Canis lupus familiaris: one gene and its partner. Each later gene encodes a partner of the first gene's protein in a complex. Links are inferred from orthologs where the notes say so. Each region holds a gene or a part of one and is shown in the gene's direction. Other genes may lie near its edges.

What was found.
Region 2: the proteins of PLOD3 (region 1) and COLGALT1 are in contact, whole or in part, in a cryo-EM structure (PDB 8ZGE), measured with the Homo sapiens proteins. The link is inferred for Canis lupus familiaris from reciprocal best matches to the Homo sapiens genes PLOD3 and COLGALT1. Residues at the interface, in NP_001075.1 of Homo sapiens: Leu226, Val229, Val230, Leu231, Lys232, Phe233, Asp234, Arg235, Arg241, Gln261, Tyr264, Leu265, Pro275, Gly430, Ala431, Leu432, Arg440, Glu442, Glu446, Arg452; in NP_078932.2 of Homo sapiens: Ala36, Tyr37, Phe38, Pro39, Glu40, Glu41, Arg42, Trp43.

What each region holds. Positions count from the first base shown.
Region 1 is NC_049227.1:8,580,219-8,587,306, forward strand, and holds the end of PLOD3 (multifunctional procollagen lysine hydroxylase and glycosyltransferase LH3), read left to right. Parts: intron 1-60; coding exon 61-224; intron 225-382; coding exon 383-495; intron 496-636; coding exon 637-700; intron 701-1,012; coding exon 1,013-1,110; intron 1,111-1,325; coding exon 1,326-1,427; intron 1,428-1,613; coding exon 1,614-1,739; intron 1,740-1,928; coding exon 1,929-2,050; intron 2,051-2,348; coding exon 2,349-2,453; intron 2,454-2,549; coding exon 2,550-2,675; intron 2,676-2,989; coding exon 2,990-3,131; intron 3,132-3,213; coding exon 3,214-3,327; intron 3,328-3,536; coding exon 3,537-3,605; intron 3,606-4,374; coding exon 4,375-4,479; intron 4,480-5,000; coding exon 5,001-5,147; intron 5,148-5,425; coding exon 5,426-5,551; intron 5,552-5,883; coding exon 5,884-6,039; 3' UTR 6,040-6,322; downstream 6,323-7,088. UniProt on the Homo sapiens protein: Multifunctional enzyme that catalyzes a series of essential post-translational modifications on Lys residues in procollagen. Plays a redundant role in catalyzing the formation of hydroxylysine residues in -Xaa-Lys-Gly- sequences in collagens.
Region 2 is NC_049241.1:45,662,530-45,670,643, reverse strand, and holds part of COLGALT1 (procollagen galactosyltransferase 1), read left to right. Parts: intron 1-4,958; coding exon 4,959-5,035; intron 5,036-5,112; coding exon 5,113-5,219; intron 5,220-5,417; coding exon 5,418-5,550; intron 5,551-6,729; coding exon 6,730-6,857; intron 6,858-7,941; coding exon 7,942-8,114. UniProt on the Homo sapiens protein: Beta-galactosyltransferase that transfers beta-galactose to hydroxylysine residues of type I collagen. By acting on collagen glycosylation, facilitates the formation of collagen triple helix. Also involved in the biosynthesis of collagen type IV.

The sequences.
Region 1 (7,088 bases):
AGGGCGGGGGTCAGGATACTGAGGTTCCTGCTGTCCTGTCGTGCCCTCTTCCTCTCCCAGCTACGATGTGATTCTGGCTGGCAGCCCCGCAGAGCTGCTGAAGAAGTTCGTTCAGAGTGGCAGTCGCCTGCTCTTCTCCGCTGAGGGCTTCTGCTGGCCCGAGTGGGGGCTGGCCGAGCAGTACCCTGAGGTGGGCACAGGGAAGCGCTTCCTCAACTCTGGTGGTGAGTGGCAGAGCACCTGAGGCAGAGGGAAAAGAGTGGTGGGACATATGGAGGGGCATATGGAGTGTTCCAGGTGCTGAGGGCCAGAGAGGGAGTGGGACTGGGCCCTGGGGCCTTGAGAGTCCTGGAGTCAGCACCTGCTCACCCATCCCCTGCAGGATTCATTGGCTTTGCCCCCACCATCCACAAAGTGGTCCGCCAGTGGAAGTACAAGGATGACGATGACGACCAGCTGTTCTATACTCGGCTCTACCTGGACCCAGGGCTGAGGGTAGGGAAGGCTGGAGGGGGGCTGTCCAGCCTCCAGCTGAAGGGGAGAGGAGAGGGTAGGACTTTTGGGAGGATGTAAAAGGAGTGGGAAGTGCTGGCCTACCTCCCTGCATAGTGACCTGCCCCATCTCATCCCATCTAGGAAAAACTCAGCCTCAATCTGGATCATAAATCTCGGATCTTTCAGAACCTCAATGGGGCTTTAGGTGAGAACAAAGGGCTCTACTTCTGTCATTTTATTTAGCCCTTCAAAGGGAAGGTCTGGGCTTACCCCCTGTTACAGGGAGGAAAGTGCCTCTCTGAGGGACTGGTGACTTACCTAGGAACTCCCCCAGGGTGGCCAGAGCCTGGTCAGAACCCTCGGGAGAGAGAAAGAACCCTACCCTAGAGCCACAGTCCTTCATCCTCTAGAGAAGCCCCCCCAGGTTCCCCCACCCAACCGCATCCCATACTTAGAAGCATCATTGCTTGGCAGCTTTGAGAGGAAAGGAGTGTAAAGCAGAGCCTTTCTTCCCCAGATGAGGTGGTTTTAAAGTTTGATCGGAATCGTGTGCGGATCCGGAATGTGGCCTACGACACACTTCCTGTTGTGGTCCACGGGAATGGTCCTACTAAGGTGCTCCAATGGCTTATACCCTCCACCCCTGCCCCTACCTACCTCTAGCCCTTCCAAGCCTGTCCTCCCTAACCCCACCAGCAGCAGAGGTGCTGGGAGAGGTGCTAAGTGTCCATCTCTCCCCTTCCTGCCCTGTCCCCTGCCTGTCCACCTGACCTCCCTCACCTCTGCTGCTGGACTCCTTGGCTTCTACCTCTTACTGCCTCTCCCAACAGCTCCAGCTGAATTACCTGGGAAACTATGTTCCTAATGGCTGGACTCCTCAGGGAGGCTGTGGGTTCTGTGGCCGGGACCGGAGGACACTCCCGGGGGGGCAGGTGAGGAGGGGTGCTAGGGTGCTGCAGGACCAGGCATCAAGGCAGAGGGCACAGGGAGAGCCTGCTGGGCAGCAGTGCATGGGGAGCTCCTGGGGATTCCCAACCTGCCAGGGTGGTAGAGGACACACTGGTCTGGGGGCCTGGACTCCTCTGAGCCCCGTCATGTCGTCATGTTGTATCTTCCAGCCTCCCCCCCGGGTGCTTCTGGCTGTGTTTGTAGAACAACCTACCCCATTCCTGCCCCGCTTCCTGCAGCGGCTGCTGCTCCTGGACTACCCCCCTGACAGGGTCACCCTGTTCCTGCATAACAACGTGAGACACTCTGACAGCCTCTCCCTTGTGCACCCTCCCAAGGAACTCTGCCCCTACCTGGTCTGGAACTCCCACCCCCCACCCCCACCCGGACTCCTTCCTTACATCCTTTCCATCCACCTCCTTGCCCCTCCTGTCCCTCAGGCACCATTTTTCCTACCCTCTCTAACCCCTCTCTCCCATCTCCAGGAGGTGTACCATGAGCCCCACATCGCAGACTCCTGGCCCCAGCTCCAGGACCACTTCTCAGCTGTGAAGCTGGTGGGACCAGAGGAGGCCCTGACACCAGGCGAGGCCAGGGACATGGCCATGTGAGTGAGCACTGGGTGGGGAGGATGGTCAAGGGTGAAGGGGTGCTCCATGTAGCATGGAGCCTATGCTCAGCCTCCACAGGGGCACCCTCCCAGCCAGGAGAACCTGGGGTCCTGGGGAAGCAAGCACAGCACCCCCCAGCACCCCCAGCCTTCCTCTTCTCCTCTTGCTGGTGCTTCTACCCACTTTCTTGCTCTCCTCGACAGGTGGGGGAGTTCTTCCACTTACCACACAGTCCCTTCCTTCCCCCACCTGCTCCTGTTTCAGCTCAAGTGTTCGTTGATCTATCACCTCCAGGGACAGTTGTCGGCAGGACCCAGAGTGTGAATTCTACTTCAGCCTGGACGCTGATGCCGTCATCACCAACCCTCAGACACTGCGCATCCTCATTGAAGAGAACAGGTCACTTGCCCCACTCAGCCAGAGGGCCCCCAAATAGTCTCCTGGGAGCCCCCACCTCCTTCCTGGGGCCCAGGGCTCACCTCTGCCTGTCCACAGGAAGGTGATAGCACCCATGCTGTCCCGCCACGGGAAGCTGTGGTCCAACTTCTGGGGAGCCCTGAGCCCCGATGAGTACTACGCTCGCTCGGAGGACTATGTGGAGCTGGTACAGCGGAAGCGAGTGTGAGTCCTGCCGGAGGGCTGCAAACCCTCTTGTCTGGCCTTGGGGAGGAGACCATAAACACCTGCATGCTCCCCCGTTTCCCTGCTCTCGGGGGTCCAGAGTGGCCACCAGTCAGAAGTGCCACCCCTGCAGAGTTGGGGCTGACTATGGAGCAGACTGAGGTGTTGTGACTAGCAGTGCTTAGCAGGGAAGCGATGGGACCTTTTGGCCTGGAGGGTGGGGTGCCCTGAAGGAAGGGGTTCCTGGGTTGAACCGGGCAGAATTTGGGGGAGAGGGCCACCCACTGATCTGACCCCAGCGTGGGTGCCTCCAGGGGCGTGTGGAATGTGCCCTATATATCCCAGGCATACGTGATCCGTGGTGAGACCCTGAGGACAGAGCTGCCCCAGAGGGAGGTGTTCTCAGGCAGTGACACCGACCCAGACATGGCCTTCTGTAAGAGCCTGCGGGATAAGGTGAGTGGGGCCTGGGCGCCCAAAGCTGAGGTGCAGAGAAGCAGCCACCCATGTCTCCTCACACCCTCCCCCCCCACTCCAGGGCATCTTCCTCCACCTTAGTAATCAGCACGAGTTTGGCCGCCTCCTGGCCACTTCCCGGTATGACACAGACCATCTGCACCCGGACCTCTGGCAGATCTTCGACAACCCCCTGGTGAGAGCCAACTGCTTGCTCAGAGAATGGGACATGCCCTCCACTCTGGGAGGATGCAGGCACCTGGACACATGTGCAAGCGCTTGCTCCCAAGTTCAGCAACTGTGTGGGGAGAGGTGGTGGTGGTTGTGGTACTGGGGCTTCCTGAGTGGGAGCTGAGGGAGTGAAGAGGGCACCCATGGAGGTGTGTACCCCTCCCTCTCCCTCAGGATTGGAAGGAGCAGTACATTCATGAGAACTACAGCCGGGCCCTTGAAGGGGAGGGGCTCGTGGAACAGGTGAGCCCCATGTAGGACCCCTGACCCCCTGAGTCGCCTGCCTGGATTAGTCATTTTCAAACCGACTTCTCTTGGGTGTCTGAGGGTTTTCTGCTTAGGCAGATAAAGGTGGAGGCCCAGCAGATAGGCCTTCGGCTCCCCACCCTGCCACTGATCAGAGCAATCCTCTCTTGTTGTCGGGCTTATTGGTATTATGGGTGGCATGACAGTTTTGTAAAGCCCCGGCAGCCATATGCCATTTGTACTTTTTCCGGTGCCACACCTGCCTTCCATGGCCCAGCCTTTCCTGGCTAGCCCCCATGTTCAGAGTCCCAATCCCCAAGCTTCTCCCATCTCCTGGCTTCCTTTTCTGTTCCCTGCTTTTTTATTTATTTTATTTTATTTTATTTTATTTTATTTTATTTTATTTTATATTTATCTATTTATTTATTTATTATTTTATTTATTTTTTATTTTATTTTATTTTATTTATTTTATTTTATTTATTTTATTATTTTATTTATTTTATCTTATTTTATTTTATTTATGAGAGACACAGAAAGAGAGAGAAGCAAATAGGCAGAGAAAGAAGCAGGATTTCTGTGGGGAGCCCGATGTGGGACTCAATCCCGGAACCCCGGGATCACGACCTGAGCTGAAGGCAGACGCTCAACTGCTGAGCCACCCAGGCATCCCTGCTCCCTGCCTTTACTCCCCTCGGTTGGCTGCTTTGCTCCCCAAGAGGTCTGCAAGCATCTCCCCGCCCTGTTCTTGCCCTGTCTGTCCTCAGCCGTGCCCAGATGTGTACTGGTTCCCCCTGCTGTCCGACCAGATGTGTGACGAACTGGTGGAGGAAATGGAGCACTATGGCCAGTGGTCAGGAGGCCGGCATGAGGTGAGAGGGGCTGGGGCAGGGAGGACTCCCCACCCCCTGGGGCAGGGAAGGTGCAGCTGTGATGAAGGGAAATGGAATCATGAGAGTCGGAGCAGGGTGGGGCCCCCAGAGTGCTGGGGACCCAGGGGGGGCACAACTGCATGCATGCATTCATTCAGAAACTCCTTACCAGGCAGGCAGGTCTGCGACACCCACCACTGAACTGGGCGCTCTGGTGTAGAGCACTTGCTTGAGCCCTGCCCTCCTGCACCTCACCTGCTATAGGCAATAGCAGGAGCCCTGCTCCTGAAGGTTGTGATGGGCAGCCCAGATGCTGTAGGAGTCACAGGAGGGGCCCTTGGCCTGGACGTGGGGGGTGACCAAGGGGCTTCCCAGAAGAGGTACCATCTTCAGGGTGAGTTAGAGGGAGTCAGGTAGAGTGGTCGAGGCTCCTAAATGCACGTCACACAAGCTTTCGGGCCTCAGAGCAGGGGGGAGCGGCTGGCATGGCCCTATTTGGGCTCAGTGCCCACTGCCCACAGGACTCAAGGCTGGCTGGAGGCTACGAGAATGTGCCCACTGTGGACATCCATATGAAGCAGGTGGGCTATGAAGACCAGTGGCTGCAGCTATTGAGGACGTACGTGGGCCCCATGACAGAGAGCCTGTTCCCAGGCTACCACACCAAGGTGAGCTGCCACCCCTGCCTCCTCCCACACCCCAGTTCTGGCTGGAAGTCTGCACATGGTGCTCCTTCAGCTCCTGTAGCATCTGGAGTCCTGAGGGAAGGGATACCACTGGATGGCAGCCCCCCGGGGAGTTCGCAGGATACCCCCAAGGGCCAAGATCCCTGCAGCCCTCCTCCCCTCCTCCCACTGGGTTGAGGCTTCACCTCCTCAGAAGCGCCCCCGCCCACCCTGTGACCTCACGGCCATCCCTCCCACCTCTTCTCTCGTGCCCCCCACAGACCCGGGCAGTGATGAACTTTGTGGTCCGTTACCGGCCAGATGAGCAGCCCTCTTTGCGGCCCCATCACGACTCATCCACCTTCACTCTCAACGTGGCCCTCAACCACAAGGGCCTGGATTATGAGGTGAGCCCCGAGTGCCCTCCCCCGTCAGGGCACCAGCAGGGCCTCTCCACACACGCACATACACACTTGAGCCCTGGGCCTCCTGACAACCCCTACACACCCTCAGGCACCTGTCCCTGGCCTGTCCTCTTCTTGGTTCCAGTTACTTCGCCTGCACCACCTCCCGGACCTCTTTCAGGCTGTGTGCCTTGCCACCACCCCCCCACCCCAGCCCACCCCAGTGCCTCTCTTGTATGCTGACACCCCAAGCCCCCCATCCAGCCTCTCACCCTCCTGTGCCCCCCGCCCCCCATCTACTGATTTGCCCACTTCCATTCCTCCGTTTCTTCCAGGGAGGTGGCTGTCGCTTCTTGCGCTATGACTGCATAGTCTCATCCCCACGGAAGGGCTGGGGGCTCCTGCACCCCGGCCGTCTCACCCACTACCACGAGGGGCTGCCCACTACTCGGGGCACTCGCTACATCATGGTGTCCTTTGTCGATCCCTGACACTCAACCACTCTGCCAAACCTTCGCTGCCGCTGTGCCTTCCTGCACCCCCCTCCTTGGAAGGGGGTCTGTCTGGCGCCTCCTTTCCTGAGCGGATGTTCAGTGTGCCTGGGACTGAATGTGTCGCCTCCCCACCCCAACACACGGCCCTCTCAGGAAGCTCCTGGAGCCCCCATGCCCCTCCCCATGGTCCCCAAAGGTTCCTGGGGAGAAGGCTTCTGGGGGCTCCCCATACAATAAATTATTGTTTCTCAGCCTCCCTCCCATAAAGGAGGATTTGTAACTCTTGAGTCTGTGTATGTCTTTCACCTCCCTACTGAGCCTGAATCCCTCCTGCCACCAGAGCGGAAGGAGTTACCCCACAGAAAAAGAACAGAGGGGAGAAGGCAGAAGCGGATGGTAGAGCAGTGTGGGAACCTGGAAGCTTCCCTGGGTCCCATTTCTGGAGGTAGGGGTAGCATGGGGAGCCTGAGAAGGGCCAGGCCCCAAGGACTTCACTTAGATTTAGGTGGAAGCCTACCCCCACTCTCCCGCCAGACCCAGCCTCTTCTCCCTGACTCTCTTGTCACTTGAGGGCATCTGTGGGATGTCAGAGCCCTGTGCGGGGCTCTGGGGCCAGTGCAAAGGGAAGGAAGGCCCCCTGGAAGCATGTGTTCTAAGGGGACACAGGAGGCTTCTAGGACTCCAGCTTTTGGTTAGGGAGGATCAGGAAAGCCCTAGAGAGTCATCCCAAGAAAGCTTCCTGGAAGAGGAGAATGTGAAGCAGCCTTGAAAAAGAGGCGAGACCTCCTGAGAGCTGATGTGGCCTCCAGCCTCTGCAAACAGGTGCCCTGGGGACTGCAGGCCATGTTCCTTTAGCTTGGTCCTTTCCAGTTCCTTTTCCAGCCTACCTTGCTGGGTTTCTCTCCCAACTGGTCCCTTGCAGAAGCCTTTTGAAAACCAAATGGCCTGTTCTTGGATCCCAGGGCACTTCTCACCTCCGACACCTAACTTGCCATCCACGCCTTCCTCCCTACTGCCTGGACTCCCAGGAGAACCTCCTCTATGAA
Region 2 (8,114 bases), on another chromosome or scaffold:
GCATCCTGAGAGCTGTCAGGATGGCCTTCTGGGAAGAGGTGACATTAAGATGCAGTAGGGGGGAGGAGTTAGCCAGGAAGAGGATCACAGCTGCGGGGAGCAGCACATGCAAAGGCTGGAGGGGACGTGAGCTCAGAGAATAGTTCAGAGAACAGGGAAATAAAGGGGCAGAAAATAAAGGAGGTAAAGGGGGCAGAGCTGGCAGGCAGGGCCAGCACAGGGGCCTTGGACACCCAAGCTGAGAGACAGGCCTTTTTCCCAAGGGCAGTTGGGAGCCATAGAGGGTGCAGGAGCAGAGGGTTAGCAGGTTTCCACCGATGGACCTTTATGTGCATGGCATGTCTGGGACACCTCTCTATTTTGGGCTTTTCCTCATCCATGCCTCTACCAAACCCCAGACCCACCATTATTTAATATTTATCTCAAGCACACTTTTTTTTCCCTCTTGAACACATTTTAAAAAAAAAAGATTTTATTTATTTATTTGAGAGAGAGAGTGAGCAAGGAGTGGGAGAGCAGAGGGAGAGGGAGAAGCAGATTCCTCATGCCGAGCAGGGAGCCCAGTGCAGGACTCAATCCTAGGACCCTGAGACCATGACCTAAGCCGAAGGCAGATGCTCAACCTACTGAGCCACCCAGGCTCCCCCGCTTGAATACATTTATTTAAAAAAGGGAACTAGATATTTTTACTGTAGTTGCAAGCTCATATCTTTTTAATATATAGACAAATAAATCCATAAACTGTTAAACTAGCTGTCCCTCTAGTGGGCGCCTGAGATCAGACAAGCACACAGGGCTGAGCTGCCATCAAGGTTGAGGAGGGGACTCCTGCCCCAGCTGGGGAGCTCCAGAGCAACCACCCAGTGATATGATACCTACTTCCATGAGGGCCGCACCCTGTGCCGGCCACACATATCCCCCAGAACGCCCCTGAGGCAGCATGGCCATTCCTCCCACTGCACAGACTGGGAGGAGCCCTGCCCTGCGCTGGAGTTCCTTTTCCACTCTTAAACCTAGCCCTGGAAAGTTCTGCTTATGGCACCCCCTGGTGGCTGAAGATGGAATAGCACCTGCCCTCTTTGTTTTGAGAGATTTTTGGGTATTTTGAGGTAATACCTGGAGGCTGCAGGGTCACCAGAGTATGGACCCCTGCAATATTCTAGTGTTTGTCACACACAGATGCCCAGACCTGGTCCAGCAGCCTCACCAGGCTGCAGTCACAGAGGCAGGTCTCTACTTGTTACCAACTCCAGTGGGAACTGGCCCCTGAGAAATGTCTCTGAGGCTGCGATAGTTTTCCTAGTTTATTATATTATTTATTATTTTAATTTTTACTATTTTTTATATTTCAAGAGAGAGAAAGCATGCATATGAACAGAGGTAATGCAGAGGGAGAGGGAGAGAGAGAATCCTAAGCAGGCTCCACACCCAGCAGAGCCCAGCGTGGAGCTCTCATGAGAACATGACCTGAACCAAAATCAAGAATCAGACACTCAACTGACTGAGCCACCCAGGCATCCCTAGTTTTCCTAGTTTAAAGTTTCTAATGCATTTCTGGTCAGGAAACCATTCACACTATTGTCAGAAACTGAAGTCACCAGAGGGGTGAATATTTTCCTGTGTCTCTAGGGCCCAAGCAAAGTATATAGAACAAACAGAAGGAGGGTCTGGAAGATTCAGATATTTGTGTAAATCTTTCCTTCTGGTTTGAGTGGAGACATTTTCTCTCCATCCATTATGTGGATACCTGGACCTGGTCTGTGCCTGTGATTTTTTTTCATGAATTCAAAAGTCTGTCTTACGATGAAATTTCAGGCCTGCAGGAAGTCTCAGTAAGGTTCTCTGTGAATGGAGAATCCTACAGCCTGCTTCCTTCCCTCTGCTCATGCACAGTGGGGCATCTTTCCCTATCGGCCCCATATACCTTGCTTGGTGTAAATCCTGTTTGTTGAGTGTTAGCACACACCGTGGGAATGGGTGGTGTGCATGTGGTATGATGATTTTTTTATATCCTGTTACCAGGCCAGGCCCTGGCCCTCCCGCCACCCCAGTTTCATCGGCCGATGGGTTGTAGCTGTCTTGTTCTTCTATGAGTGGAATCGCCCAACATGCCTCTCTCAAGTGCCATGTCTTCTGCTCAGTGTCCCACCAGTGCCAGCGTGGCTGCCATGTGCAGCTGTGGCTTGTTCCTCGCCTTGCCACATAGTGTTACACGTAGATGTTTAACCACAGATTTATCCAGTCTTGGCTGCATCACACGTCACTTACAAGTCTTCTCATGAGGGATACAGGGTGTTTCCCACTGTCCCCAGGGTTGCTATGAGTTTCCCAAGCATGCGTGTGAGGGAGTTCCAGACATGCATCCGTGGGTGCCAAGTAAGGAAATATCCACAGGATTGCTCTCACTTCTTACAACAGCTGCAAGGTCATGGGGCCCCCAAGACCAGACTAGGGGTTTGATAATTCACTAGAAGGACACAGGACTCCCTGGAAGCCATTACACTCCCAGTTACTGTTTACTACAAGCAAAAGGACACCGATGATAATTGGCAAAGGGAAGAGGTATCTGGGGTGGCACCCAGCAGAGTTCCAAGCATGGAACTTCCGGTTGTTCCCTCTCTGTGGAGTCGTGTGGACAGCTTTCACTTGTAGCACTGCTGTGTGACAATATGCAGGGTGTACTGCCATCCGGAGATGCTCCCTGAGCCTTGGTGTCCATGGTTTTTACTGGGGCTCACCCACATGGAGCTGGCTGATTACCACATGGGTGACCTCCGTCTCTAGCCCCTGCAGAGGGCGAGCTGATTCCACGTGACCCAAGCCTCCTGCCCTAAATCACACTGTTGGCATAGACCACCCCAGGCCCCAGTCTTATTAGGCAGGATGTTCAGAGGGCTTCCACCTCTCAGAAGCTGGGGGACAAAGCCAGATTTTTCTTTGGGCAAGTTTGGTTATTCACCCCATGATGGGCCTGGAGGTGTTAGGTTTTTATAACCACTGTGATGTGACTTTCTGGAAAGACTAAATTGCTTTGTTCCTTCTGGATGTCTGGTGTGCTCCGTTTTTACAGAACTGATGCCAAAGAGTGAGGAGACCCTCCGTCCCACAGGCAGGCCTTGTTGCCTCCACACTCCCCAGTGGAGGGGCAGACCCTCGGGAAAAGGGAAACGACACCTGGAGTTTGGACCCGGGTCCTCAGATCCCAACATCTGGCCCTTGGTCTCCAGGCTCCCCAAAGAGGATGGGGAGTAGCCAGAGCTGTGAAGAGCCCTGGGCAGGAGGAAAGCCCGGGATGCAGTGTCCCTAGGGAGCCCAGGTTGGCTTTGGGCCTCACCTAGGCCTGTCCCAGACAGAGGGGGGCTTTGTCTGTCCCTCAGGCTCATATAGGGCCTTTATTCTTGATGGGGTAGATGCCATACTCACTGTCAGGCTGGGCCCCTGTGGGTCAGGCGGTGGGCGTGCAGAAGCCACCCCGGCCTCATATCCATCCAAGGATCTGGTCATTCTGAGGGAGACCACCAGGGATGTGCCAAGATGGGGCTCTGGGGACATGGTCTGGTCTGAGCATTGTTCACAGCAGCTGGAAGGGCAGTGGTCATGACCACTCTGAGATTCTTGCCATTCCTTGGCTGGTAGACATGCCACTCCAGTCACGTGGTCACCTTTCCCTTGTGTGTCTCTGTGGTCATCCCTCTGTGTGCATGGCTGTATCCAAATTTCTCATTTTTATGAGAATCCCAGTCAGTATTTTAATCTGATTATCTCTATAAAGACCTTATTTCCAAATAAGGCCACATCTTGAGGTACTGAGGGTTGAGATGCTAACATGCTGGGGAGGACACAGTTCAACCCATAATGTGTGTCATTTTACAACATCTTTTCCTGAAGCCTCTGTGAGGAGGAGGTTTTTAAAATTAGGAGCCCTGGGGTGCCTGGGTGCCTCAGTCGGTTGAACATCTGACTCTCGGTTTTGGTTCAGGTCTTGATCTCAGGGTCCTGAGATTGAGCCCCATGTCAGGCTCAGTGCAGAGTCTGCTTGAGATTCTCTCTCCCTCTGCCCCTCCTCCTGCTTGTGGACTCTTTCTCTAAAATAAATCTGTAGGGCAGCCCCGGTGGCGCAGCTGTTTAGAGCCTCCTGCAGCCCAGGGCATGATCCTGGAGACCTGGGATCGAGTCCCACGTCAGGCTCTCTGTGTGGCGCCTGCTTCTCCCTCTGCCTGTGTCTCTGCCTCTCTCTCTCTCTCTGTATCTATGAATAAATAAAATAAAATCTTAAAAAAATTAAATAAAATAAATCTGTAATGAAATGAAATAGAAAAACAAAACAAAATAAAATAAAATAGGAGTCCCATTTTATAGACGAGGAAAGCCAAGGCCCCGACAGGTCAAGGTCACACAGCTTGGCACCATTCCTTTGTTCATTCTATAAATAATTATTGAGTGCCTGATGTGTACCAAGCATTGGGCACTGGGGACTCAGTATGAGTGGGCAGACCTGGTGTCTGTCCTACGGGGTTCATGGGAGACAGGAAGCCAGGGAGGTAGGGCTGAAGGATTGGGATTTGATGATCAAAGGCCAGGTGCTGTGGGAGCTAGGATAAGGTATCCTGGTCCAACTCAAGTCTATAAATAGACTAATAGTTTCGATGATTACTATCTTAGTTGGGAGGTCAGGGAAAGGAGAGGAGAAAGGAAGGTGTTTTGGGCCAAGGCCAAGCATGTGCAAAGGTCCTGAGGTAGGAAGGGGTGCATTTGGGGCAGTGTCAACAGCCAGGGTGAGTAGGTGGGGGGTAAAGAGGCCAGCACCAACATTGTGAGCGGAACGGTGTCAGGCACAGTCTCCGATGCCAGGCCAAGGAGCTTAGGGTAATGGTTCCTGGAGAGGTTGGGGAGGGGACGTTGTTCCTCCCCACCCCCCCAGTGTCCCCACTGACCCCTTGGCACTGTCTGCCCCACAGTGAAGCACCCACCAGCGGAGCCCTCCAAGTTCATCTCAGTGCCCACCAAGACACCTGACAAGATGGGCTTTGACGAGGTGAGCTGGGCCTTCCCTCGTGGGTGGGGGTGGGGCGGGGGCCGCCCGGAGGGTCCTACCAGAGCTTCTGGCTGCAGGTCTTCATGATCAACCTGAAGCGGCGGCAGGATCGGCGGGAGCGCATGCTGCGGGCGCTGCAGGAGCAGGAGATCGAGTGCCGGCTGGTAGAGGCCGTAGATGGCAAGTACGTTTCCCCCTCTCCCCGGGTCGGGGCATGGGGGGCCAGCGGGGAGCAGGTCCGTCCAGGGGTGTAGACCATGCACTGGCAGCCCCGGCCTCGTGGGTCCAGGAGAGGTGCTAACGGTGGAAGAGAGAGGGGCGCGCTAATGGTGGCACAGCAGGCCCAGTGGGTCTTCCTCTGACCCGCCTCCCCCACCTCCAGAGCCATGAACACCAGCCAGGTGGAGGCGCTGGGCATCCAGATGCTCCCCGGCTACCGTGACCCCTACCACGGGCGGCCTCTCACCAAGGGCGAGCTGGGCTGCTTCCTCAGCCACTATAACATCTGGAAGGAGGTAGGTCTGGCAGGGGAGGGCAGGGCGGTCCCCCCACTGGCCGCTCAGGGAGGGACTCATGGGCACCCCCTGCAGGACCCTGAGACTTCAGCAGGACGCAGGGCCTGTCTTTAGAGAACGCTTCACCTGCATGTCACCTGCACCCTGGCTGGGGCAGCTGCTGTCCTTTCATTATGCGGATGGGGAAGCAGACTAGGGAAGGAGGATGGGTTGAGCCTGGCTCCTGAAAAAGGGGGGTCTCAGGCCCAGGACTCCCAAGCAAGGCCTCTTCCCACCCAACTGCTGTCACATGTCTTTGGAACCTGGACTCTGTGCTCAACCATTAGGAGTAACGGCCATGGGGACAGTAAGCAATGCTAACCCCATGCCAGGGGCTTGCCAGCCACCCTCAGAAGGGAGGGCTGTGATAGGTGGGGACTGAGATTCAAACCTGGAACCACGGAGCATGAGGCCAGATAGGGCATTTAGGCATTTGAGGTGACGGGTGCTCTTTCCCTGAGTGAGATTTGTCATAGAGGGTGTGGGGCAGAGGTTACCATGTTCAGGGGGCCAGGACTTGGTGTCAAGTCCAGCCCTACCTCGTAGAGGGGTAAGCTCTGTAAGGAGGGTCCCTGTTGTTGCAGATGACAGTCACCCTCCTCAGTCTTGAGGACTGTCAAGTGCATTCAGGGAGCACCCAAGCACCTACTGTGCATTTGGCCTAGTGCTGGTGCTGGAAACTTGACAGCCCCTAAGACAGATGCATACCCCTGCAGGGGGCTCACAGCCCAGGGAAATGGGGAGACTGATGGCAAACCACAATAAACCAAGTGTGATGCACCCACAGCAGGGCCATGAATTGTCCTCAGCTGACAGCTTTGGCCAGTGGTTGGTGGTTGGGGAGGGTGACATCTGAGCCGAGGCCTGAAGGCTGGGGGCTTGCCTGCTGCCATGACAAGGGGTGCTTTGTGTCAGCACAGGCATAGGCCCTGGGGTGGGAAGGAGCAGCTCAGGCAAGGCCAAGGCCAGGGCACCTGTTGCCATGTGTGAGGGGAGCCAATGGCCAAGAGGTCGATCCAGTAGGTGGCGAGGAGGGCTTGTGTCTGCTTCTCTCCTGCTGCCCCAGGCCTAAGCAGAGCTGATGTCAGGGTCAGGTCTGGCCTTGGCCTCCATGTGATGTGGGCAGGGCACCCCCCTCAGGTCGTGGACCGCGGGCTGCAGAAGTCACTGGTCTTCGAGGATGACCTGCGCTTTGAGATCTTTTTCAAGAGACGCCTGCTGAACCTCATGCGGGACGTGGAGCGGGAGGGTCTGGACTGGGACCTCATGTGAGTGTGGGGCAGGGCTGGTAGTGTGATCTGCACCTGGGTGGCGCTGGGGTGGGGCCGGGGCTCAGGGGTGAAGTTTGGAGCAGGGTGAAGCTGGAGCCTGGAGCTCAGAAGTGTGGCCCAGAGCCTGTAGGCATGAGGACCTTTGCAAATTAATAGGCCAGCCAGCTCTTGGGGTTGTGGCAGAAGGGGACTCGGGTGTGGCCTGTGTGAGGGGCCCTGTGGTCCCTGGATCTGAGAGCAGTTAGGGCTTGGCTTAAGGCCTGGGGGGTAGGGCCACAGGCCTGTGAGGATGACCGGGAAATCTAGGGACCTGGCCTGTGGGGACGGGGCTTTGTCAGGGCTTGGAGACTTGCTAAGACCTGTAGGAGATGGGGTGTGGCAGAGATTTGACCTGGAAGCCTGTGTGCATGGCTGGAGATCTTGGGGTGTGGCCTGGGGTAGGTGTGGTCAGGGCTTGGGAGTGTGCCCAGGATCCGGGGCATGGCTGAGTGTGGGGCATTGCCAGGGAGCCTGGGTCTTAGACCAGCACTAAGTAGGATGTGGCTAGCGTATTTCTGGAACAGCCTTTTGGGATCTCCTGTAGGTGAGTTGGTTTGTCCTCCCACCATCTCTCTCTCTCTCCTCCTATGTGCAGAGCCCTGATGTAGGTTCTAGGCTGAAGACTCTGGACCATGCTAGTAATAGGAACAGTAGCCATATCCCTTCATCCCTACCTACTCACCATTCCTGCACCTTGCCCAGCTGCCCCACAGTCTTCTGAATTCAGAGCAGCTTCCTTCCTAGCGCGTTCCTGGCCTCAGAGAGTGTCCAGGACGTCCTGTCCTTCCCAGCTCCAAATTCTTCCATGGCTCCCTAGTGCCCTTGGAAAAAACTCGGTCTCCTCCCTGCACATCCCAGACCCCTGTGGTCCTCCCTGGTCCAGCAGCCATACCAGCCTCCTCATTGCTCCCCAAACCCGCCAAGCCCGCTCCCACCCCAGGGCCTGATGGAGGCTCACTTGATCTCTGATCTCCGACTTGCTCAGTCAGCATTCTCCAGCGGGTGGGACGAGGGTGACAGGGCCCAAACTCTGCCCCCACAGCTACGTGGGCCGGAAGCGGATGCAGGTGGAGCACCCAGAGAAGGCTGTGCCCCGTGTGAGGAACCTGGTGGAGGCGGATTACTCCTACTGGACGCTGGCCTACGTGATCTCCCTGCAGGGCGCCCGCAAGCTGCTGGCCGCCCAGCCTCTCTCCAAAATGCTGCCTGTTGACG